Linked DNA regions of Macaca mulatta. The protein of the gene in region 2 purifies or fractionates together with the protein of the main gene of each other region. This does not show direct contact. Links are inferred from orthologs where the notes say so. Each region holds a gene or a part of one and is shown on either strand. Other genes may lie near its edges. The genes, in order: SMAD7, TGFBR2 and SMURF2.

Region 1 (8,136 bases), on a different chromosome or scaffold from region 2:
GGCCACAGCAGCTGGCAAAACCAGCCCCAGACCTGTGGGAGGGGGGTGTGCTCCAGCTCCAGACCTGGCCATCCTCCAATGTGGCAGGACAATTCCCTTTGTGGGGGCTTTGTCTATTACTGATGCTAAATTCTTACACAGCAGCGCCTTTTCTCATTTCTTTTTTTGTTCTATTTTCAACAAAACATTTTGGGTGAGTAACCAGCTGTCTTAGTTTCCGATTGGCAGGTTAATCACTTCCTATTGGCTGATCTGGAGAACTTTTCTCCCCCTTGGAAATGGCACATTCCTGTCTTTGTGGCTTCTCTGTTTACACACATTTTGCTACCTAATGTCAACACTTGCTAATGAATAAATATATCACTCCACTCACCGAAAATGAGGTCCTGGCCTGGCAGAATGACTGCTTAAATCCTGAGAACAGATTTATCCCAGTGTCTCTGCAGGAAACCCAAGGGAACATGGCCTTTCTTTTCTACGGTTTTTGGAGGTTTCTTTTCTACGGTTTTGGAGGTTTCATTTACCCCTGCTGGTCTTTATCCCTGGGGCTAAGGTCACTGTTCTCTCTCTTTTAAGGAAAACCTCCAAATTTGAAGAATATGGAAGGACAAACAAAAACAGGTCAGAGGTGGCCCCTTGGAAAACTAACTTCATAAAATAATTCTGGATTCTTTAAGCCAAAACCCAGTCAAGTTACAGTCTTTAGGAAAACAAAGCTTGGTAATTCCAGTTAATGTTTGTTACAAATACAGAGAGCTGGGTATCTCCTCATTAATAACCATTTATCTGGTGTTTTGTAAATCGAAAGCAAAATATCACATGCTTTGCGGGCCACTTATTAGACCGGCACCAGGCAAGCAGGAACGCCTTCCCAACTTGAGGGAGCTGGTAGAGTCCCAGGAGGACTGGCTGCAGAGTATGGGCTTCGGTTACACATTCATTAAAGTATTTAATTTATGACAACGCCCCAGCAAAACTTTTAATTAGTGAGGGGAAAGGCCCAACAGCCAAAATGCAGAAGGCGGAAGGACTTGCAGAATTCCAGGAGCTAAATGGTGCCCAACTCTTCACTTTTCCTTCTCCCAGAACCTTGGCAAAATAAAAATGTCCCAAGTATTAATGTTTTTTCAGGCACCAGTATACAAGAACAAAAACCAAGGTTACACACGGCCTGTACTTGTAGCAAACAGATCTATCTCCTACTGTAAGAAGGAGCTCCAGGAATTGAGGTTTGTCCTTGTTGTCACCCCAAAGTTCATTTTGCTGACCCCGTCCCCAGCACTGTGATGTCCAGGGATGGACTCCTGTGCTACTGCCGGCCAGAAGTTGAATGCAGACAACCACAACAGGGCTGGTGCCAGTCTCAAATGGGCTTCTGCCCTGGCTCCATGCCAGTCAGTGACAAAGCAACAGACAGGCAGAGCTGTGCTCAAAACTTTGACGGCCCCTATGGAGAATACTGAGAAAACCCCGGGAGAGGACTGACTTGCAGGTGACTGGGGCAGGGGGAACCTACCCTCCTTTCACTGCCTATACTTCTGAAACGTTCCAGTGTCTACTCTAGACCAAAGTCTTCTTTGAACCTTTTTAAACCGCCTTCCCATCTATCTAATCACGCTTTCCATTATTGCCGTTGATGCTCCTGGCACTCACGAAGTCTCCAAGTTTTCCCCATCAACCAGTCCTATTTGGTTCCCAAGACACTTCTTTCTGGACTAAAGCTTCCACGTATCAAAGCTGAGCCCACCGGCTACAGAGCGCAAATACAGGAAAAAGGAACAAAATGTAAAGCATATCAAGGGAACATCTTTGCAAAAACACAAAACAAAAACCCAGTCACAACAGAAAAATTCACCAAACTTCCAACAGAGGAAACCTAGAACCAAAGTGAAGTGAAGCAAGTCCAGCACCTCTCCAAGCCTTTGCCTACACACAAAAAGCCAGGTTCTAGAGGCTCTATTTCTAACTTAAGATAGGAAGGATATTTTAAAAATCATCTACTCACCAGTTGGTTTGAGAAAATCCATCGGGTATCTGGAGTAAGGAGGGGGGGGAGACTCTGAAATTAAAAAAGCAAGAGAAAATAAAGGCCCAGCCATGAGAAGAGAGATAGAAACTTATGATAACAGAAGCATTCTTTTAGCCCAACTGTTTGTCTTAGCTGTGGGGGTTGGAGGCAGGGCCGCGAGGCGGTGATTGCCTTGATATTTAGCTGTCAGATAAACAAAAGAGGCCGCCTGGCGCCAGCCTCGGCGCTCCGCTCCTCCACGTCTGCGGCCGCCGCCGCCGCCGCGCTCGGCTGGCCCGGCTGGAAACCACCGGCTCAGCCGGAGCCGCGCACTTCACAGTTCACAGGCGGGGGGCGACCATACCCCCTCCCCGTTCTCGGACTCCAGACCCAGCTCCCAGCAACCTCGGTTCCCCGCCCTGGCCCGCCCCCCAGGGGTGCAATTCACCTCCGCCCCCGCCGGTCCGCTGGGCACCCGCGCGAGGGACACGGGGCTCCCCATTCCCAGCGCACTCGGGAGATGCAGCCCAAGCGTGCTGGTGAACTTGGGGGATCTGCGGTCGCCCGGGGTGAACCCTCACATCACACTCCGTGTACAGAGACATACAGAAAAGGAAGGAATGGAGAAAGCTGACAGGATAAAAGGGAAGAAGTTTCAGGGTCTCAGCCGAGAAGCCCTGGCCCCAGCGCAGTAAGGGGCGACAACGTCACCGAGGCGCAGGGCCCCACTAATCTATAGACTTATCTGTGCGGAAGGAAGGAAAAAGTAGGGGACACCCAACTTCTCCTGGCTGTTTGTTCCTCTGCACCCTGGGGCTGGCAGAGTTGAAATGAGACAGATACCCAGTTCGGCCTTCCATCCAACTCTCTTTGCCCCAAAACTCCAAAGCTGCGCGGCCACGACAGTGTCTGGGCCACTTGTGTTCGACGTGATTCTCCTTATTTACTGAAGGAGTAAATACGGAGACCTTCCAGCCTTTTTATAGCATGCTTCTCCCAGCCTTCCTTGGCGGGCCTGGACCAAATCCAACTCGGTCACACACCTCAACGCCTTTCCGGGTGCGGGGAGGCGTGACCCCCCCATCTCCCTCTGCACCCCCTTGTTGATCCGGAAATGAAGGCGTCTAATTTTTAACCGCAAACTGTGTGCAGGAGCAGTGCCCATAGACCCCTTCGGGGCAACACAGGAGAAATCCTGGAAGGGAAACCCCAGGGAATGCCCTTTGAGTTTCCCCGTGTCCCTTCTCTACTTTCGGCCCCCAGTCTCCTCCCAGGAGGGGATGCACACTCCCCCTGGAGGGGTGGCTGCACAAACGCACTGCCCTAAGGGCTTTTCTTCCAGCACTGGCGCGCCGGAAAATGCTGGGGGTAAGGGGACAACTTCTCACCTAGTTCGCAGAGTCGGCTAAGGTGATGGGGGTTGCAGCACACCAGCTCGGGGTTGATCTTCCCGTAAGATTCACAGCAACACAGCCTCTTGACTTCCGAGGAATGCCTGAGATCCGGCCACCTGAACACTTTGCACAGCAGGAGGGGGAGCGAGTAGGACGAGGGCGGCTGCGCAGGCTGCGCGCTGGCGGGCGCCCCCGGGCCCAGCCTGCAGTCCAGGCGGCCGGGCAGCAGGAGGCACGCGGTGCGCGTCCCGCCGCGGGACTCCACGGCCTGGAGCAGCAGCTCCAGCTGCCGCTCCTTCAGTTTCTTGAGCACCGAGTGCGTGAGCGCCTTCAGATCCGCTTCGGCGCCCCCGGCCGCGCCGGCGCCCGCGGCTGGCGGGTGGGGATGGTGGTGACCTTTGGCACCTCGCACCGCCTTGCCCAGGCAGCATCCAGCCCTGCCCGGGCCGCCGCCACCGGCCCCATGCGCTCGGCTGTCCGTCGCCCCTTCTCCCCGCAGCTCGCCGCCTCCTCCACCTCCCCCCGCGCCCTCCTCCTCGTCCTCGCCGCCGGGCGCACGGCTCCTCCAGAGACGCCGGACGAGCGCAGATCGTTTGGTCCTGAACATGCGGGGCGAGGAGGCGAGGAGAAAAGTCGTTTGGCGGCTAAGGAGCGAACATGACCTCCGCACACCATGAAGAAGTCGGGCGCCGAGTTGGGGCAGCAGGCGCAGGCGACAGCAGCAGCAGCAGGGGCCCGGGCAGGAGCGGCGGCGGCCCGAGGGGCGCTCCGTGGCATGCGCCAGTCTCCCGGAGGCCGGGGCGCGCGCGGGGGCCCGGGGGCGCCCGCCGGGGATCGGGGGCCTGCGCTCCGGCTGCCCCACCCCGCGCGGCCCGCGCCCTGCGCGGCTCTCCGGCCCCGGCGCGCCCCGGAGGAACCCGGCCGCCGCTTCCCTGGGGACGGCCGAGCCTGCCCCCGTCGGCGCCTCCCCAAAAAGAGGCCCCCCCGCAGTGGCTCCCGAATGTCGGGCTCGCCAGCCTCGGATTCCTACATGGAAGGTCCGCGGAGGCAAAAAAGCGAAAGGCGTTCGGCTGGGCTGCTGGAAGAAGGAAAAAGCCTCTTTCCCCCTTGCTAAGCAACTTAATTTGGGGGTGGGGAGAAGCAGGCAATTAAAAAAAAAAAAAGCAAGCACGCAATTTATTTTTTTTCTCTATATCCTTAGTAACCGGATCTCCTCGAATTCTGTGCACACGAAGACTCAGGGGAGGGGGCCGAGTGGACTTCACCCCGCATGAGATGTCTGGCGAAATAAGAAGGCTCTCGCAAAACCTAACAACCAAATATGCAAAGCCCCAAATGAAAAACACCACCTCCTCGAACCTCTGAGGTCTGGGGGCGTCCGGCTGGAGCTGGGGTTTAAAAAAAGAAAATGTTTACAAAGTATAACAAGATGTTTGAGGGGTGGAAAAATGTATCCACGAGTTACATCCCCCCCTTTTTTCCTTGCAAAGCCCCGCTGGTCTTCCTCTCCTTCTGCCAAAAAAAAAAAAAATCGTGTATTTTTTTAATCCACAGAAAGCTTTGGCTAGACCGCTTCAATCCTGCGCATCTGGGTGGTTTAGGGGAGTCTCTGGTCTTTCCTCCTGCGCTCCTGGGGGCCCAGGTCCTCGGCGGGGACTTCCTCGAGGCTGGCGGGGGCGCAGGGGCAGAAGATGCTGCGGCGGCGGCTGAGCCCGGCGGGGCTGACAGCGCGGGGGAGGGCGGCGCGGCGGCGGCGGCGGCGGAGGGCCCCAGGCGGGTCGCGCGTTCTCGCCCCCCCTGGGCACAAGCTGCTTGCTAGTGCGGGGGCCGCCGGTGTCCCTTCCCCTGGCCGCGGCTGCCCGCCGAGGGTCCCCGCATGGGCTGCTCGCCTGGCCCCAGCAGCGGCGGCAGGAGGCCCCGGTGTCCTCTCGGCGCCTCCTCCTCCGAGACTCTCCTCGTCGCGCCCGGGAGCCTCCTTGTCCCCGGTCCGCCCTCTCCTGGCGCTCTGGTCCTTCTGCCGCCGCCAGGGGCTCGCCGCGCCGCACTCTGGGGCTCAGGGGCCGGGCGTTCGGCGGCTCGGCGGCGGCGGACTGGCTCTGTCTCGGGCAGCTCTCTCCCGCGCGGCGAGCGGACCGAGCACGGCGCCCGGCTGGCTCGGCTGGCGCGGCTCGGGGACAAGATCTTCAGTGCGCCGAGCAGCAAGCGAGTGTGCCCAGACCTCGCCGCCTCCCGCAAGGCCTCCCGCCCCCGCCCCCGCCCCCTTCCCTCCCCCTTCCTCCCCCTTCCCTCCCCCGCCCCCAGCCGCCGCCGCCGCCGCCTCCTCCCCGCCCCCCCGCACCCCCCCTCCGGCCCTCTGCTCGGCTGGTTCCACTGCGCAGTGGCGCGCCCGGCTCCGGCCTCGTCACGTGGCCGTCTAGACACCCTGTCGCTTTAAAAAAAAAAAAAAAAAGCGATTGTGTTTCGCAAACAACAGATCGGGTTTCTAAAAGCTATTTCTCCCCCCAACCCCCCGCCACCGCCACCCCCTCCCGGGGCTGTAGATGGGGTACCGACGGAGGGGAGAGAGAGGTGGGGGGCAGAGAAGCTCCCAGAATCGATTGAGCCCCGGCGGGAGCCATGGAGAAATTGGAAAAGCAGGGAGCACCGAGCGGGCTTCGCTGCGAGTTTTGGAGCTTAGAGAGCCGGTCGGTGGCCCGATTTCGACCCGGCTGGGCTTCGCGGTGGCCATCTCGCGCGCGCTCGCTCTAGCGCTTCATTCATTGGTTTTGTTTTAAAGGCCCTGGCGGCGGATCCCTTGGCCGCGCCGGAGGGCAAGGGGAGGAGAGCGCTGTCTCGGTTTAAAAGACATTTATACGGGACTGGACCGAGGCCCCGGGAAGTGTGCGCTGAGGGGAACAGCCGCCGAGGGCGGGGAGGCGGCGTGAATATGACCTCAGCGGCGGCCGCGCGCTCCCTCCCGCCCTCTCCGCTCCGGGCTCCGGTTTCTAGGACTGCCTGGAGAAGTGTGTCTTGTGCACAGCTATGGAATGCATTTGGCCGGCTGACGAGCTGCGAGGGGCAGCCTCCTGGCGGGAGAAGGGGAGCGGGAGGCGGGGGCTCGCCTGCGCGCCGCCCGCAGGTTTCCTCCCGGGCCCGGAAGACCTCCGCCACCAGCCACCCTGCCTCCTGGCGCGGGAAGGTTACCCAGCGAGCAGACCTGCCTAGGGCATTTATTTGCATGCAGGGCCTGTTTCTGGGCCTCGTAGCTTTCAAGGTGCTTAGGGTCAGAGAGTTTATACCTTGACCCCAGGTCCCGAAGAAACATATACTCAAGCTGGCGAGTTACTGCATAGAAACGGGCATGGCATTGCTAGGGCATGAACGCATATACAGCGTGAAAGCTGATGGCTCTGAGAAACGTAATTATTTAAATACACACACATCAGTATTGATGAGGCCACTGGTTGGCATGGTGATCTAACCTCACTTCATATTCAGTGAAATACGATTTAAAAAAAAAAAAAAAAAGCCATTGAGAATTATGAGATCAGGCCCGCAGTGAAACTCATTGGGGGCTTTGAAGAATCTTTTTTCTTTTAAGAGTCTCACTCTTGACCCAGGCTAAAGTGCAGTGGCTCGATGTCGGCTTCCTGCAGCCTCTGCCTCCCCGGATCAAATGATTCTCCCACCTCAGCCTCTGGAGTAGCTGGAACTACAGGCGCTTGCCACCACACCTGGCTAATTTTTGTAATTTTTGGTAGTGACGCGGTTTCACCATGTTGGCCAGGCTGATCTGGAACTCCTGACCTCAAGTAATCTACCTGCCTCGACCTCTCAAACTGCTGGAAGTACAGGCGTGAGCCACTGCACCTGGCCTTAAAATAATCTTTAGAAAAGGTGAAATGTGCCGGGGCTTGGTGGCTCACGCTTGTAATCCCAGCATTTTGGGAGGCTGAGGCAGGTGGATCACCTGAGGTCAAGAGTTTGAGACCAGCCTGGCCAATATGGTGAAATCCCGTCTCTACTAAAAATACAAAAATTAAACAGGCAGGTGGCACGTGCCTGTAACCCCAGCTGAGACAGGAGAATTCCTTGAACCCGGGAGACGGAGGTTGCAGTGAGCCGAGATCGCACCACTGCACTCCATCCTGGGCAACAGAGTGAGACTCTGTCTCAAAAAAAAAAAAAAAAGAAAGAAAAGAAAAAAAAGAAAAAGATGAAATGTACATCTCCTCAGCTAAATTATATGTTCTTTTTTTTTTTTTTTTTTTTTTTTTGAGACGGAGTCTCGCTCTGTCACCCAGGCTGGAGTGCAGTGGCCGGATCTCAGCTCACTGCAAGCTCCGCCTCCCGGGTTCATGCCATTCTCCTGCCTCAGCCTCCCGAGTAGCTGGGACTACAGGCGCCTGCCACCTCGCCCGGCTAAGTTTTTGTATTTTTAGTAGAGACGGGGTTTCACTGTGTTAGCCAGGATGGTCTCGATCTCCTGACCTCGTGATCCGCCCGTCTCGGCCTCCCAAAGTGCTGGGATTACAGGCTTGAGCCACCGCGCCCGGCCAATTATATGTTCTTAAAAGGAAAAGGCAGGAATGAATCTTAGCCACCTTTAGAGCTCAAGCCCTCTCCCCCTCCAGCAATTAAAAAGACTTATAACATATTAATACAATAGTAGATGCTTAATAAATAATTAGAAATCAACACTTAGGGCTTAAGGGGCATTTGGACCCTTCCTCCACCCCACCAAAAGTACCTTTG
Region 2 (8,056 bases):
TGGAGGGTAGAAGCCAACAAGGTAACAGAGTTATGCTTTTATGTGGAACTTGGCCAAATAATGCCATGCTGTAGCCAGCAAGCATGTTTCCCCTGAACCCTATTTAAAACTGCTTTGGTAGTCTGCATCAGACCTAAATAATATCCACGCTACTCTGGGGTAGGCAGTGGTGGCTACAGGACCACACTTCCCTTCAACCAACGCCGCTTTACCCTTACAAACCAAAACATAAAACCCGATGAAAAAAGAAACTTAAAAACTAAATTTAGATTTTAGCACTTCATTCCTAATAAAATTCTCTTTCCAACACCCTTCTAGAAAAAAAAAAAAAAGAGGTATCAGTACCTACTGGATAATTTCTCTGGTGACTTTATTTAAAGTTTTGCAGTGGCTTTCAAGGCCCTACACTAGTTCAAAATTTATGGCTAGAAGAATTGCATGAAAACTTCTAGCAGCTTTCCATCATGTTTGTCAGAAGTTGAAACATCTTTTTCCATATTTCATGAGAATACAAGAAGCAATTCCATACTTCAAAAAGAGTCAAATTGCTTATTGTGATCAGAACTAAAACTATTTGAACTGAAAGTAAAGATTTTACTATTCGGACCAAACACCTAACAAACAAGTCACTGCTTAGTTAAATGCTCGACCTCAGTTGCACTAGATGCAGTAGGATGAAGTGGAGGCTCAGCTCAGCACTTCCTGGGTGCTAAATGATGTGTCAGGCACTGCTAGAGACCCCGGAGATAGAGAACTGAATAGGATTGAGAGGATTAAAGGTCTAATGGGGCAAGAGAGTTACGAAAAGATATGACTTCGGCTTGGTATCGTTACCATCTAAGTGAGAGGTCCGTATCTCATAGGAGATATTCACCTCAAACTGGGGCATTCAATGCAGGTTTTCCTCAAGAAGATGACACTTGAACTACGTCTTAAAAGATGAGTGAAAATTAGCCGGGTAGCAGCAGTTCCAGACATCCTGAACAAAGGCACAGCTGCCTAAATTGCTCACATCATGTGTATGTGTAGTGACACCAACAGACTGGGAAAGTGTGGGCTGTGGTGGGATGTGAAGCAGCAGAGTCAAATGGGAACCACGTCGGAGGCCCTTTGTAAGACCAATTAAGGAGTTAACAGTAATAACAGAAGCTGATATTTACTGAGCATTTACTGTGTTGCAGGCACCATGTTAAATACTTTAAAACAATATTTTATTTAATCCTCACCATAACTCCATAATCCTCACTTTACAAATGAGACCAGGGATGACCAGTAGGTAAAGTAACTACAACAGGCTACACAGCCAGTAAACGGGAAGTGGGTTTGGAACCCAGGACGGCCTGATTCCAAAGCTTATACCCTACACTCTTCTACCACCAGCCTATCCTCAAAGAGAACACTAAATGAATGCACTGGGTCCATCATGCTGCCTATGGAATGGAGAAGGCAATTAAAGGCTGCCCAACGGGGGCTCTGTGATAAGGCAGGGATAGGAAAGTGAGATTCAAAATACATTCAATGGGACCTAGAAGGAAACATTCAACATGCACATCCTCCTAGTGCATACAACAACAAAAAATGAGGCTTTTGAAAATGAGGTATAGAAAATAAAACACCAGTATTCCATAATGCTTTCAAATATAAAGAGTTAAAACATGTATCCTTTTCTTTACATATAACATGCTCCTAGCTTAAATTCAATGAAGGCAAAGACCAGGTCTGTCTTATGGATGGTGTCCCAGGTCGGAGCGTCCTGCCTGGCAAGAGATACTCAATAAATATGGTTGAAAAGGTAGAAGAAAAAAATGCCCACTTTTTGCAATGATATCAATGAGATCCAGAATTAAAAACTAACCTTACTGAAAAAATTAAAAAGTCATGTTCATAACTGAGTAGAAAACATGTAGTAGTTACATTGACTACACAGACGAGAGTCATCATTAGGGATTGCTACATTGCAAAGAAGGCACGAGCTCAAAATGTGATTAGTATTTTGTATAAAACATAACTCATTAAAAATAAGATGTTGTTAAAGGGAGTGGCCTAAAGGTAAAAACGTATTTTTATGAGGGCAAAAAAAAAGCACAAGTAGACCAAAGATAAGATTTGGGGCCTAATGATGTCTAGTCTCTTACCCTGACAAAATAAGCAGGTTATTAAAGAGATCTGAAGAACCTGTATCCCTACGACACTGTTACAAATTCTTTGTCCTCAATAAGAATCTACTTTTAGGAATCTGAAAAGTCATATTTTTCAGACCTGAAGAGCTATTGTACACTTTACAGTTTTCCCCCAAAGAGTCATTTCTTAATTTTGATCATTTAGGAAGAGTGAATGTACTAAGTCAAAAACAAGGGAAAAAAAACTTTCTATTTCTTAGTGAAATTTGTTCTTATATTTAAATCCTTTACATACTACTAAACAGAAATACAGAAGCTACTAAACAGAAGACAGATTTTGGGGCTTTTCTATGTGACGTAAAAGGAGCTTGTTGTTTATTAAACAATCTCATTCCCTCATATATTATCTTGCATCAAGATATTTTGAAAAAATGTTTTCAGTTTACCAGTTATGTTAGAAAAATTCTGAAACCATTTACTTACATGAAAAATTAAAATGTAAGTAGAATTAGGTTTCTCATCTTCAATATATCTATCTTCAACCTTTGGCCAACTTTGAAAATTTAATTTGAATCAAATGAATACAAATTCAAAATATTCATTAATTCAACCATTTTGAAACTTCAATTCTATAAAAATAGGAAATCTGTGGGCCTTGTTAAACTGTCTAAATACTCAAAAAGCCACCACGCTTTTATGCTAATTGTTTAAAAGTGTGTATATTGATGAAATGAAAGTGACTCATGAACTATTGGGTCTGGAATTTGCAAATCATAAATCTTATCCTTGTAAACAGAACCTAACAACATCAGGGCCTGCTAATTTCCTTCTTCTATAATCTGGAACAAAAGTTTTAATGATTTTTAACATCCACAGAAAATTAAGGGTGCCATTTTAAATATTTATTAGCAAAATACAACTTAGGTTTAAGAGTCTGGAGGAAAATGAGAGACAACTGAACATTCTGGTACTGCAATGCAGGAAAAACGCCAAGAACGAAACACTAAGATTTTATTAAAACCATAGGACTCAAAAGTGTGTTAAGACTTTTTGCTTGCAATAGTGCATCTTCCTAATTAGATTAAAAGCTTCCATCTCCATGCCACCTTCAATGTATGCCATAATTTTTAAAAAGTTCCCAATCCACTTCAAATACTCTGAAATTTACAACTGACCATGATGCGCGTTTTTTCTAGACAAACCAAAAGGTAAATCTGCCCATGTCCCTGGATAAATAAAAAGAGTGCGTCAGGGTGATGTGGACTGCCAACTCCTCTACATTTCATCCAGAGCCTACATGGGTCATCTCCAAGTTACCAGAAGAGCTAGGGGAAAGGAGGGGAGGGCCACGGCACGTAAGATGTTAAACACGAAGATGATGTAAAATTACCCAGATTCAACCTTGCCATTTTACAGATGAGGAAACTAAGGCCCAGAAAAAGCTCTGTGACTTGCCCAAATACTCGGTTACCCAGACCACAGCTGCAGATACTGTTATTTGGATCACAGCTGCAAAAAGTCTAACTTTTGGCCGGGCGCGGTGGCTCATGCCTATAATCCCAGCACTTTGGGAGGCCAAGGTGGGCGGATTACGAGGTCAAGAGATCGAGACCATCCTGACCGATATGGTGAAACCCTGTATCTACTAAAAACACAAAAATTAGCTGGGCGTGGTGGCGGGTGCTTGTAATCCCAACTGCTCGGGAGGCTGAGGCAGGAGAATCACTTGAACCCATGAGGCAAAGGTTGCAGTGAGCCGAGATTGCGCCACTGCACTCCAGCCTGGTGACAGAATGAGACTCCGTCTCAAAAAAAAAAAAAAAAAAAAAAAAAAAAAAAAAAAAAAAAATCTAACTTTTGAAGTCTCAGGTGTTTACACTTTCCATAACAAATCATTAAGAACCCCCATTCCTGCATGCATATATATATATATATATATACACACACACACACACACAGACACACACATACATATAAACATATATTTTTTTTCCTTAAAAACCTTCAGACACAGCGATCAGGTGGGTAGCCTAGGTAGAATTTTAACCCTTCGGTTTCCAACAAACGATAATTGCATAGAACTATCAACTCCCTGAAGACAGGACTGTCTTGTTCCAGGCAAAATCTACAGCCCCTAGCACCCAGTGGGCATTCAGTGAGGAATTCTCGGTTTCACCTGAGCATCTCCACTCCCTTCCCATCCATGCCAAGGCGTCAGTGGAGCCAGCTAACTTTCTTTTGGAAATCGCTTATTTTCTTGAAACTTGTATCCAAAACCTCCGGGCCAAGAAGCCGGCCTGAGGGAAAGCGTGGCCGTGTCCAGGAGCTAAGGACTGAGGAGCTGGCCTTTTGAACGGGTGGCTCAGAAAGAGCTGGGTGGGCACGCGGCATTGCCACGGGCTGAGTGGCCCAGGTGTGCTGGCTGCTTTGGCAGCTCAGGCTGCCGCCCCGGGCCGCTGCTCCCCGGCCGCCTTCAGATAACCAACTTCTCAAACTTCCCTTTCCGGGGGTGGGGGCTCGCCTCGAACGCGGCCAACACAACGCCTTTCCTGCTCGCACAAAGGGGACCAAACGTGCCCCGCGCCCCTTGCAAGTGAACTTTCCATCTTTTTTTCAAGAAAAACTCACACATCCCTGCAGCTACGGGAGTCGGGCTGCTAGAGTGCCGCGGAGGAAACTTTCCTCGTTTCCGCCCGGGCGCCGGGTTGCCGGGCCCGACTGTCAAGCGCAGCGGAGAGGCGGGGACCCCAGGAAGACCCCCGGCGCCCCGCCGAGCCCAGGCTGGGGACCACTCACCCGACTTCTGAACGTGCGGTGGGATCGTGCTGGCGATACGCGTCCACAGGACGATGTGCAGCGGCCACAGGCCCCTGAGCAGCCCCCGACCCATGGCAGACCCCGCTGCTCGTCATAGACCGAGCCCCGAGCGCAGCGGACGGCGCCTTCCCGGACCCCTGGCTGCGCCTCCGCGCCGCGCCCTCTCCGGACCCCGCGCCGGGCCGGTCGCGCAGATGTGCGGGCCAGATGTGGCGCCCGCTCGCCAGCCAGAAGGGGGCCTGGAGGCCGGCGAGGCGCGGGGAGGCCCCCGGCGGCCGAGGGAAGCTGCACAGGAGGCCGGCTCCTGTCCCGAGCGGGTGCACGCGCGGGGGTGTCGTCGCTCCGTGCGCGCGAGTGACTCACTCAACTTCAACTCAGCGCTGCGGGGGAAACAGGAAACTCCTCGCCAACAGCTGGGCAGGACCTCTCTCCGCCCGAGAGCCTTCTCCCTCTCCTCGACGTCCAGCCCCTAGCTCTCTCGTAGCTGCCAATCATGTTTCCTAGACCAGCCCCTCCGAGCGCTTTGGCCGACTTTCAGCTGCCCCTCACCGCCCTCCCACACCACTCAGGAGTTCCTCGCTTCACGTATTTACTCAAGAGTGACTAAGTGCACGCAGTTCACAAAGTAACAACAGAAAACGTCCACGTTTTCTCTGGTAGATCAGAACATCTGCCGCCTCCCCTCAGCTTTCTTCAGATTGCTCCTAGGTGCTTTAGAGATGCGTTTTCAAATTACACGTTGAGATCCAGGAGTGAATACTCAAATCTATTGAGTCGTGAGCACATTTCTGTCCCAAATAAAATAGTAACGGTAAATTTTACTTCATTAAACTTGTGCTTCGGTTGTGTCTTTATGCATGTATGTGTGTGCATACACTGTCAAGTGGTAAAATGTTTTTTCTTTAGGTCGAAGTCTAGAAGTTTTTCTCAAGTTTTAATGTACTTATTGATCACCTGGGAATCTTGTTAAAAAATGCAGATTCTAATTCAGTAGGTCTAGGAGGCAGGCGGAGATTCTGCATTTTTATGAGCACCTGGATAGAGCCTCCCATTTCGCACCGCCTCTTCCGGGGACTGAGTCAGTGAGTAATTGTAAATGATCACCTATCACGAAGTGATAATGGTGGAAAATGTAATTTTCAGAATGTATAGAGTATAGCAGAAACTGTAAAATTAAAAGTGGCTTGGGAGTCACCTGAATGCTTGCGCTTTTATTCCCTTAATGCAGGTGAAGAGAATGCTTAGCCTTTCATGTGAAAAAGGGGTAACATGGGAGCAGAACAGTATAAACTTTCAAATTTCCTTTCTTGCTAGGGCAACCAGATTTGCCCAAGACACTCCTGGTGTACATGTTTTGTAGTTTAAATATTAATAGAACCCCTTTTCTCTTTCAGATATGTCCTGATTGGATAATAAACTATGTGATCAACCTACTTCTCTCTCTCAAAGATAGGATTCTGTACAGCCCTCTGGTCAGTAGATCTTCCAGCAATTCGTTTAATGAATTCCTTTACCTGAGAGAAAGATTGCAGAGGCAAGGGTTTGGGCCAGGGCCTCCAGGGAATAAAGGTAAATAGCACTCCCCCAAACCCAGCTCCCAAAATCCCTCCTGTCATTCTAAGAGTTCATTTGCTTCATCCTGGAATTTTACCTCTTGCTCCACCTAGCACCCGAGCTGCCTCTAGATGTTCTGCCACTTCCCAGCGCTCATGTTTAAGATGGAGAAAATGCAGTGAAATCAGGAGGGCTAGGCATCTTCTTTCCCATCAATTAATTGCCTTGCCAAAGCTGGAGTGACTTTATCAATGGAGGAAGATTGAGTTCCAAATCTTCTTCTCCCTGTTCCCTCTCCTGCCACCAGCCCATGCCACTGCCGTGGCTTGAGTAGGAGTCTCCCACCGGTCACCCTCAGCCACGGCCATTCCGGGCTGTTTCACTCAGTTTCTCAAATGAGAGCTGAATTCAGTTTTTCAAAATACAAAACTAGTTATACCAACTCTCTGACTAAAATCATTTAATGGCTTCCCACTGCTCTTGAGATAAAGAGAAGATAAAAACCAGATCCTTGAACGTGGATCTGGTTCAAGCCCCCACCTCTGCTGTAAACGTCCACGTGGCTTCTCCTTGCTTGCTGAAAGCCTTCTCCAAATTTCGTGAATGTGCCTCTGTAATCCCCCTATTCTTTATGCACAGAGCCTTCCTTCCCCAGTATGGACTTCCTTCCTCTGACCTTTTCTTCTTCACCCAGCCAACTCCTGGTCTTCGTGGATTGAATGATAACTTCTTTGATGGGCAAGCTTTCACTGACCTCCATGAGTAGATCTTTTATTATAGGTTCTCTTGGCACCATATGCCTTTCTTTTAACAGCTGTAACTTTATAATTATTTGTGTCATTCTTTAATTTCTATTCCTATCCTCCACTCAACTCCAAATTTCTTGAGGGCAGGTATTATATATCTTTCCCTCCACTTACTATTGTGTCCCAAACATCTAACACATAATCGATGTTTAATAAATATTTATTGGATGAATGAATGAATCAGGCAATAAAGATTTAGAAGAAAATTGTACTTGATCATTCTAGTTGCTTCATAACTCTGGAGAAAACATTGTTACCTAATATTTGAGATATAAACAGACTACATTTTAGCCGACAATGATGTCACCACTACTTCCTTTTCTTAAGAATGGAGAAGTATGTGGGTTTCTTTCTTCTTGTTTTTTTTTTTTTTTTTTTTTTCCTTACATTTGCCCAAGTTCCTCCGGACAGCATACATGTACTTTCTTTCTCCTCAAAACACAATGTGGCAAATAAATGTTCAATATATTCCAAAGGCTTTGTTTTCCCTAATTATCACAAAGACAGATGTTTTACATTGTTGGAGGCTAGGTATTTGAATCCATGGTCAAATGTTTAACTGGTGGTCTTTGTCATCATACACCATTAATGTTGATTTTAATTTTGTTTGCCCTTAACATTTCTGATTTAATCTTCAATCTCCTGTGAAATTGAGAAGAATCAGAATTCAGCATTGCCAATGCAAGCTAGCCTTTTGAAAATCATCATAATAGAAATAATAGAGATGTAAACTCAGCATATTGCAGTTTGATAATTTTA
Region 3 (7,592 bases), on a different chromosome or scaffold from region 2:
TTGCCTTTTATTAATTTAAAAAATTATTTGCTAAAATGATGAATTAATGGCATATCTTAATAAAAATGTATACATTAACAAAAAAATTCCTTGGTCATATCTGTTTTCTAGGGAATGGTTGTATCTCTTGTCACATGAAATGCTGAATCCATACTATGGCCTCTTCCAATATTCAAGAGATGATATCTATACATTGCAGATCAATCCTGATTCTGCAGTTAATCCGGTATGATTTGAAGTTATGATGTGAATTGTGACCTGTAATGCTTTTCATGTTTACATATTAATGTAGTTTATTATATAGAAATTATTTGTCCTTGTCTTAGTTGTACCCTTTGACTTAGCAATTCCTCTTCTACAAAATTTTCCCAAGCAGATGATTACAGATACATGCACCAATTTGGAAACAGGGATGTTTATTGTTTATAGTAGCACTCAACTGAGAACAATATAGTTGTCTTCAAGAGTGGGGATTGATTAAATTATGACATGAAGCAGAATCACACAAATGATTAAAGGCATAGGTTCTGGAATTAGAAAGACATGTCGTGGTCTCATCAGTTTCTAGCTTTGTGACCTTTCAGGGCAAGTTCATGGACTTAAGCTTCAGTTTTGTCATTGCTAATAAATAAATGTGTACCTCAAAGAGGGGTTATGAGAATTAAATGGGGACTGGCACATTAAGCATTTAGCACAGTGCTGTATGTTATTAACTGTACAACTCTTATCAATTACATTATTAAGCACTCAACAGAAGTCAGCAGTTATTACTAATGTATTGTTCTTATATTGTCTTTCCATAGAAGGGCACACTATACAGCCACTAAAATGATCATGTGGGATAATAGTTAATGATTTGGAAATTTGGTGTTTATGATGTGTTAAGGGAAAAGAAGGTTATCAAATAGTATAATGCAACTTTGGTAAATATATATGTGTGTGTGTGTGTGTGTGTGTGTGTGTTTTATTACTTTTAAAAAAGAAACAAAGAGGTTTAAAGACGAACTTAAAAGATTACTTAGTTTTGGCTGGGCGCGGTGGCTCAAGCCTATAATCCCAGCACTTTGGGAGGCCGAGACGGGCAGATCACGAGGTCAGGAGATTGAGACCATCCTGGCTAACACAGTGAAACCCCTTCTCTACTTACAAAAAAAAAAAAATACAAAAAAAAATTAGCCAGGCATGGTGGTGGGCGCCTGTAGTCCCAGCTACTCGGGAGGCTGAGGCAGGAGAATGGCGTGAACCCGGGAGGCGGAGCTTGCAGTGAGCCGAGATCGCGCCACTGCACTCCGGCCTGGGTGACAGAGCGAGACTCTGTCTCAAAAAAAAAAAAAAAAGAATTTAAAAATACAAACATCTAACAAAATAATCTGTGATGAAAGACGAAATATATATAAAAGGGTAGAAATGTTAGATTTGTTTCAGGAAATTATTTAGGGAGGATTTTGAGGTGAAGGTTCTTTTTGGAGGGCGCACTGCTGCCCCTGTAGTAACAATAGCCCACATTCATTGAGGGCTTACAGCATGCCAGGTCCAGTTCCATGGGTTTCAAACATCACCTCATTTTACTCCTCATAGAGATGCTTTTTAGATACTGTTATTATCCTCATATTTCCAGATGTGGACAGTCCTACAGGGGTTAATTTGTCCATACGCCAGTGACTAGCAGAATCATGATTCTAATTCAAGCCTGACACCAAGTCTGTGCTCTTAAATCTATGGTGTTTTGATGTTTAATTTCTGGTTAGGTCAAGGAGGCGGGGAGATTTAGAATTGAAAGATTTTTTTTCATGACAAAGGGCTCAGCACGGAAGTGAGAGAAGGAAGAGAAAAGAATCTGCAAGTAGTTGAATGAAGCTCTGGGACCATAGTTTGGACTTTCTAAAAGATAAATTTTATCTTTCTAAAAGATAAAATTTACAGAATGACTGACCCCTGTGAGAAGGGCGTATTACCCTGTGTAATATGCTGTTCCGGAGTGATCTAGAGACTCCTGAGCATGCCCTAGAGAAATACTCCCTCCTGACTATATTGAAGAGTACAAATTTTATGCTTATTCTCAAAAAAATTAATGTTGCTGAAATATTTCATTTTTATTAAAATTTTCCTGGGTAGTTTCTAACTTGAGTATATACACTCTTTTCAATTTCAGGAACATTTATCCTATTTCCACTTTGTTGGACGAATAATGGGAATGGCTGTGTTTCATGGACATTATATTGATGGTGGTTTCACTTTGCCTTTTTATAAGCAATTGCTTGGGAAGTCGATTACTTTGGATGACATGGAGTTAGTAGATCCAGATCTTCATAACAGTTTAGTGTGGATACTGTATGTATTGAGTCTTCTGTCTCTTCATTATAGTTAAACTCTTGAGCTTTTAAAAAAAAGTTTCAAAACCGATGTACTTAAAAAAAATTACACAGAAAATATTGAGTGGTTGAGTGATAGGATCTCATATGATTTCCCCCTTTCTGTAGCTTCTTTATATATTTCAAATTCCTTAAACTTAGCAAGTGTTACTACTTTAAAAAGAAAAAAAAAAACTAGTATATTCTATTTTTAAAAGTACTTTATATGATTATTTCCTCAATGTGATGTAAATTCTGTTCCAAACCTGCATGTGTTAGAATAGCAAATTCTTGCTGCCATTGCTTTTAATGAAGTGGCGATTGTTGGAACCATACTTTTAGATAAGAACTAATTGTTGAATTTAAGCTAAGAACTGATTCTGTTTTGCAAGAGGTCGTTATTTTTATGAAGATACACTGGAAATGTTTATTTTTTATAAAGTATACAGTGGCTTTCTCAACTAGGGATACACAGGCACTTGGCCCCTTGGAGTACAGTACCGAGTAGCGCTCTTCAGAATGCCAAATATAACTGAAATTGTCCTATATTGGTGGTTCTAGCAAGTCCCAGCTTTGACCAGGGCTCTTTCTCATCACTCAGGAAGTTAAATGTTTCCTGTGTTTATGCAGGTTAAAGCTCTTTGACTTTTCTGTCCAGAAAGAACTAGGTAGTGTGGTAGTTTAAGAGTTCATAAGCTGAATCTGACCTCACATTTGTCATATTATAAAATGATCTTAGTTTTATCTCACCAGTTAATACATCTATAGGGTCTGTATTTTAGGTTTCCCAGTTACCTATCTCTTCCTCTTTCCTTTCCAGTGAGAATGATATTACAGGTGTTTTGGACCATACCTTCTGTGTTGAACATAATGCATATGGTGAAATTATTCAGCATGAACTTAAACCAAATGGCAAAAGTATCCCTGTTAATGAAGAAAATAAAAAAGAATATGTCAGGTAAACACTCCTGTGTTCTCAAGGCTGAATTTTTTTAAAATGTTCTAGGATGTTAGTATGAACAAACTTAAATATTTAGATAGTATTACTTAGTGTTACAAAATCCGCTTCAGCAGAATTTAGTGGCTTATTAAGAACAGCCATTTTATTATTTCTCACAATTCCAAGGGTCAGGAAATTGGGCAAAAGAACAACATGGATGACACACTGCTGTTCCACAAGATGTCAGCTAGGCCTGCAACACCAAGATGGCCTCTTCACTCATAACTAGGATAACTCAAATGGCCGAGGGCTAGCTGGCATGGCTGTCGACTGGGGTCACTGGCTGGGTCCTAGTTCTCATTGTTGGCTGAGTTCCTTGGTTCTCCCTCTGTGATATCAAAGGCCATTCCCTCTCTCCATGACCACTCCCTCTCCCCATAGCCACTCTTTCTCCCTGAAAAGTTTGTCCCTTCATTGTAATGAAGGTTAATCATGTTACCCACTGTATTGATAGACTTCTTATGGGGTGGCCAGCTTTCCAAAGCTCAAAAGCAGAAGCTGTAGATCTTTTTAAGGCCTAAGCCTGGTCCTGGCCAACATGACTTCTGTCTAGTTCTGGTTAAACTGAGACAGCCAGCCCAGTTTCATCATGGAAGAGGAGCTGTACAAAGGTGTGAATACCAGGAGATGTGGGCAATGGGGCCATGTGTGGTGTAGCTATCACAGGTGGCAATTCAGAAGGGCTTTTGTGCTGTATATTACTAACATTTAGCCTGTTTATAAACAAGCACATTGTGAGTTTAGGGATAAATGTAAATAAATGTTTTTCAGATTTCATAAAGTAAATTTGAGGAATTTTTATGTATTGGGCTAATTTGGCTTATGAGAAATAAAAAGTCTACCAAACAAAACTGTGGTAATCAGCTTTGGAAGTTTGAACTTGAACTTTACTGTATGTACACAGAAACTTGCATGCTATACTTTTTTTGTATAGATCATGTTCTCAAATCTTACTAACATTGTTCCTAGTTTAAAAATGAGGTCCACTTGATTGGAGTGAACACTGGCATAGCTTTTCTGGAAAGCGGTTTGATACCAGCAGTACATGCCCTTTAGCAGCTCTGTGTTTAGGACTCTTCTGCAGAAACACACATGTAATTGAAGAAGTACAGGAAAGGATGGTCAATTAAATACTACTTGTAAAAATTACACTACTAAAATCTTTTTAGAGAAGAATGATTATATTATACATTCAACAGAATATTATGTGGATATTTAAAAGAAAGACTACATAAGCTGTCATATTTTAAAACTAAATCTTACAAGAATTATGTAGGAACAAAGTCTATGTTTTTTTGTTTTGTTTTGTTTTTTGTTTTCTTTTGTTTTTCTTTGAGACAGAGTCTCACTCTGTTGCCCAGGCTGGAGTGCAGTGGCACAATCTTGGCTCACTGCAACCTCTGCCTCCCAGGTTCAAGTGATTCTCCTGCCTCAGCCTCCCGAGTAGCTGGGAGTACAGGTGCGCACCACCACACCCGGCGAATTTTTGTATTATTGGCAGAGATGGGGTTTCACCATATTGACCATGCTGTTCTCAAACTCCTGACCTCATGATCTGCTTGCCTTGGCCTCCCAAAGTGTTGGGATTACAGCGTAAGCCACCGTGCCTGGCTGGTTTTTTTTTTTTTTTTTTATAATTATACTGAAGATGTTCAGGAGGCTGCAGTCAAATAAAGTTTTTGCCTAGGATGAGGGAGTGGAGGTGATGGGACTGGAAATAGGGAGGAGAAAGAGGGTAAAAGAATGGACTTTCATATTTTACTGTCTCCATAGTTAATGTTTGTTTTTTTGTTACATGCATAAAAAGTATGTATTACATTTCTACTTTAAAAAATGAAAGAACAGGCTGGGTGTGGTGGCTCATGCCTGTAATCCCAGCATTTTGGGAGGCCAGAGTGGGTGGATCAGCTGAGGTCAAGAGTTTGAGACCAGCCTAGCTAACATGGTGAAACCTTGTCTCTACTAAAAATACAAAAATTAGCCAAGTGTGTTGGCAGGCACCTGTAATCCTAGCTGCTTTGAAGGCTGAGGCAGGAGAACCACTTGAACCTGGGAGGTGGAGGTTGCAGTAAGCTGAGATCACACCACTGCACTCCAGCCTGGGCGACAGAGCGAAACTCTATCTAATATAAATTTAAAATAATAAAAAAAGAAAGAACAAATGAGAATTTCCTAAGTCTTAGCAGTATCTCCTTTTCAAGACCTCGTGTGTCCTACTCAGTCCCTGGATCCCACTCTCCAGGGTTCAGTCGTGTTTACAGCACACGGTACTAATGCCTTGCCAGCTACAGTTTTGAGATTAAAAATTACAAAGAAAAATTTTTACAGTTGTACAGTTTTTCTGTCCCCTTAGCCCAGCAAACAGAAATATGGTCCTCCAAAGGATGTGTTGTTAAGTAACTTCTCTCTTGAAGTGGAGAACCATTTCTCCAGATTTGGAAATGGTAACAAATTTGACAGATGAGTAAGTTCTGTGATGTGTGAGATGGAGAGGTCTTCTTGGGTAGGTAGATAAATAAAAGCAATTCACTTATAAATCATACAGTCACACAGTAGATGTAGTTTAGTGCATTTTTTATTGGTAAAATTACATCTTCCAGAATTTTTATATCCTCTAGAGAACAATGATTATTTAATCAAAAAGCACTTGCTATTGGCTTTTACTGTTTCTTCTCATTTTTGGTTTGAGGATTATCTACCTCCTCTTCTCCCACAGACCTCCCTCAAATAGAAACAAAACACCCAACACATTCAAATTACATTTACAAGTAAAATCAGAAAAAATAGTCATTTTTGAGTGAAAGAGCTCTTTATTCTAGTTATTGGCATGTATGCTGTAAGTTTAGAAAGAAATTTCATCAAGACTCAAGTAGACGTCCTGTTTCCTGGGAGCTTCTCTGATTCGAAGGGTTGCTCTGCTGATGCTGCTGCTGTTAGTAGAAGTTTACCACTTTTCATCAACACTGAACTGTGTCACACCTCAGGGATCATTTATCCCCATTAGTCTGAGATTTATTTTTAGACTTTAGGCTAAATTATTAATGTTAGATGCTTGTAAAATGCAATGTTGCTAAAGTAGAGATTTATAATAATTACCAGATCTGAAAATATATGTGATTATACCCAATCCTGCCTAATGTTTACAGGCTCTATGTGAACTGGAGATTTTTACGAGGCATTGAGGCTCAATTCCTGGCTCTGCAGAAAGGATTTAATGAAGTAATTCCACAACATTTGCTGAAGACATTTGATGAGAAGGAGTTAGAGGTTAGTGCATTAGTAGTATAACATCACTAGTATAACAAGAAAGGATTGGGAATTATTTTGTTACTTAATTTTATAGGAAAGTCATATTTCTGGTACTTTCTAAGTTTCATGGTTCTATGCTTGAGAATTCTTATTCACAGGAAAAGTCTTTCATGCTTTTGAAGGCCTTTCATCCTTTGGAATTTCTGTGAGTGAACAGTCTCTCCTCTCCTCTCCTCTCCTCTCCTCTCCTCTCCTCTCCTCTCCTCTCCTCTCCTCTCCTCTCCTCTCCTCTCCTCTCCTCTCCTCTCCTCTCCTCTCCTCTCTCCCCTCTCTCCTCTCCCCTCTCCCCTCTCCCCTCTCCCCTCTCCCCTCTCCCCTCTCCCCTCTCCCCTCTCCCCTCTCCCCTCTCCCCTCTCCCCTCTCCCCTCTCCCCTCTCCCCTCTCCCCTCTCCCCTCTCCCCTCATTTTTTCTGAGACAGGGTCTCACTCCGTCACCCAGGCTGGGGTGCAGTGGTGCAGTCATGGCTCACTGCAGCCTTGGCCTCGTGGGCTCAAATGATCCTTCCACCTCAGCCCCCCAAGTAGCTGGGACTACAAGCATGCACCAGCACGCCTGGCTAATTTTCTTGTTTTTTTTTTTTTTTTTTTTTTTGGTAGAGACAAGGTTTTGCCATGTTTCCCAGGCTGATCTCAAACTCCTGAGCTCAAGTGATCTGCCTGCCTTGGCCTCCCAAAGTGCTAGGATTATAGGCTTGAGCCACCATGCCCGGCTTGAGCAATCTCTCTTATATTGTGAACATTTAAAATTTATTTTTCTATCCTGTACTTTCTTATTTTAAACAGATTTCATGACTTATATGTACATTCTTCCAATATATATTTATTCCTTAACTTAGTAGTTACTGATTTAGTTAAGTAAAACCTCATTAATCTACCATATTGAAATTAATTTGGGTAAGAGCCTACTCTCAGTTGGTTTTACACTAAGCTTG

What was found.
Region 1: the proteins of TGFBR2 (region 2) and SMAD7 purify together in Homo sapiens (affinity purification with western blotting; 3 studies listed by BioGRID). This does not show direct contact. The link is inferred for Macaca mulatta from reciprocal best matches to the Homo sapiens genes TGFBR2 and SMAD7.
Region 3: the proteins of TGFBR2 (region 2) and SMURF2 purify together in Homo sapiens (affinity purification with western blotting; 3 studies listed by BioGRID). This does not show direct contact. The link is inferred for Macaca mulatta from reciprocal best matches to the Homo sapiens genes TGFBR2 and SMURF2.

What each region holds. Positions count from the first base shown.
Region 1 is NC_133423.1:43,375,901-43,384,036, reverse strand, and holds the start of SMAD7 (mothers against decapentaplegic homolog 7), read right to left. Parts: upstream 5,613-8,136; 5' UTR 4,010-5,612; coding exon 3,397-4,009; intron 3,030-3,396; exon of another isoform or gene 2,852-3,029; intron 2,060-2,851; coding exon 2,006-2,059; intron 1-2,005. UniProt on the Homo sapiens protein: Antagonist of signaling by TGF-beta (transforming growth factor) type 1 receptor superfamily members; has been shown to inhibit TGF-beta (Transforming growth factor) and activin signaling by associating with their receptors thus preventing SMAD2 access.
Region 2 is NC_133407.1:17,937,351-17,945,406, forward strand, and holds the start of TGFBR2 (TGF-beta receptor type-2 precursor), read right to left. Parts: upstream 5,158-8,056; 5' UTR 5,011-5,157; coding exon 4,917-5,010; intron 4,316-4,916; exon of another isoform or gene 4,297-4,315; intron 1-4,296. UniProt on the Homo sapiens protein: Transmembrane serine/threonine kinase forming with the TGF-beta type I serine/threonine kinase receptor, TGFBR1, the non-promiscuous receptor for the TGF-beta cytokines TGFB1, TGFB2 and TGFB3.
Region 3 is NC_133421.1:74,452,218-74,459,809, reverse strand, and holds part of SMURF2 (E3 ubiquitin-protein ligase SMURF2), read left to right. Parts: intron 1-111; coding exon 112-226; intron 227-2,152; coding exon 2,153-2,331; intron 2,332-3,171; coding exon 3,172-3,309; intron 3,310-6,497; coding exon 6,498-6,618; intron 6,619-7,217; exon of another isoform or gene 7,218-7,592. UniProt on the Homo sapiens protein: E3 ubiquitin-protein ligase which accepts ubiquitin from an E2 ubiquitin-conjugating enzyme in the form of a thioester and then directly transfers the ubiquitin to targeted substrates.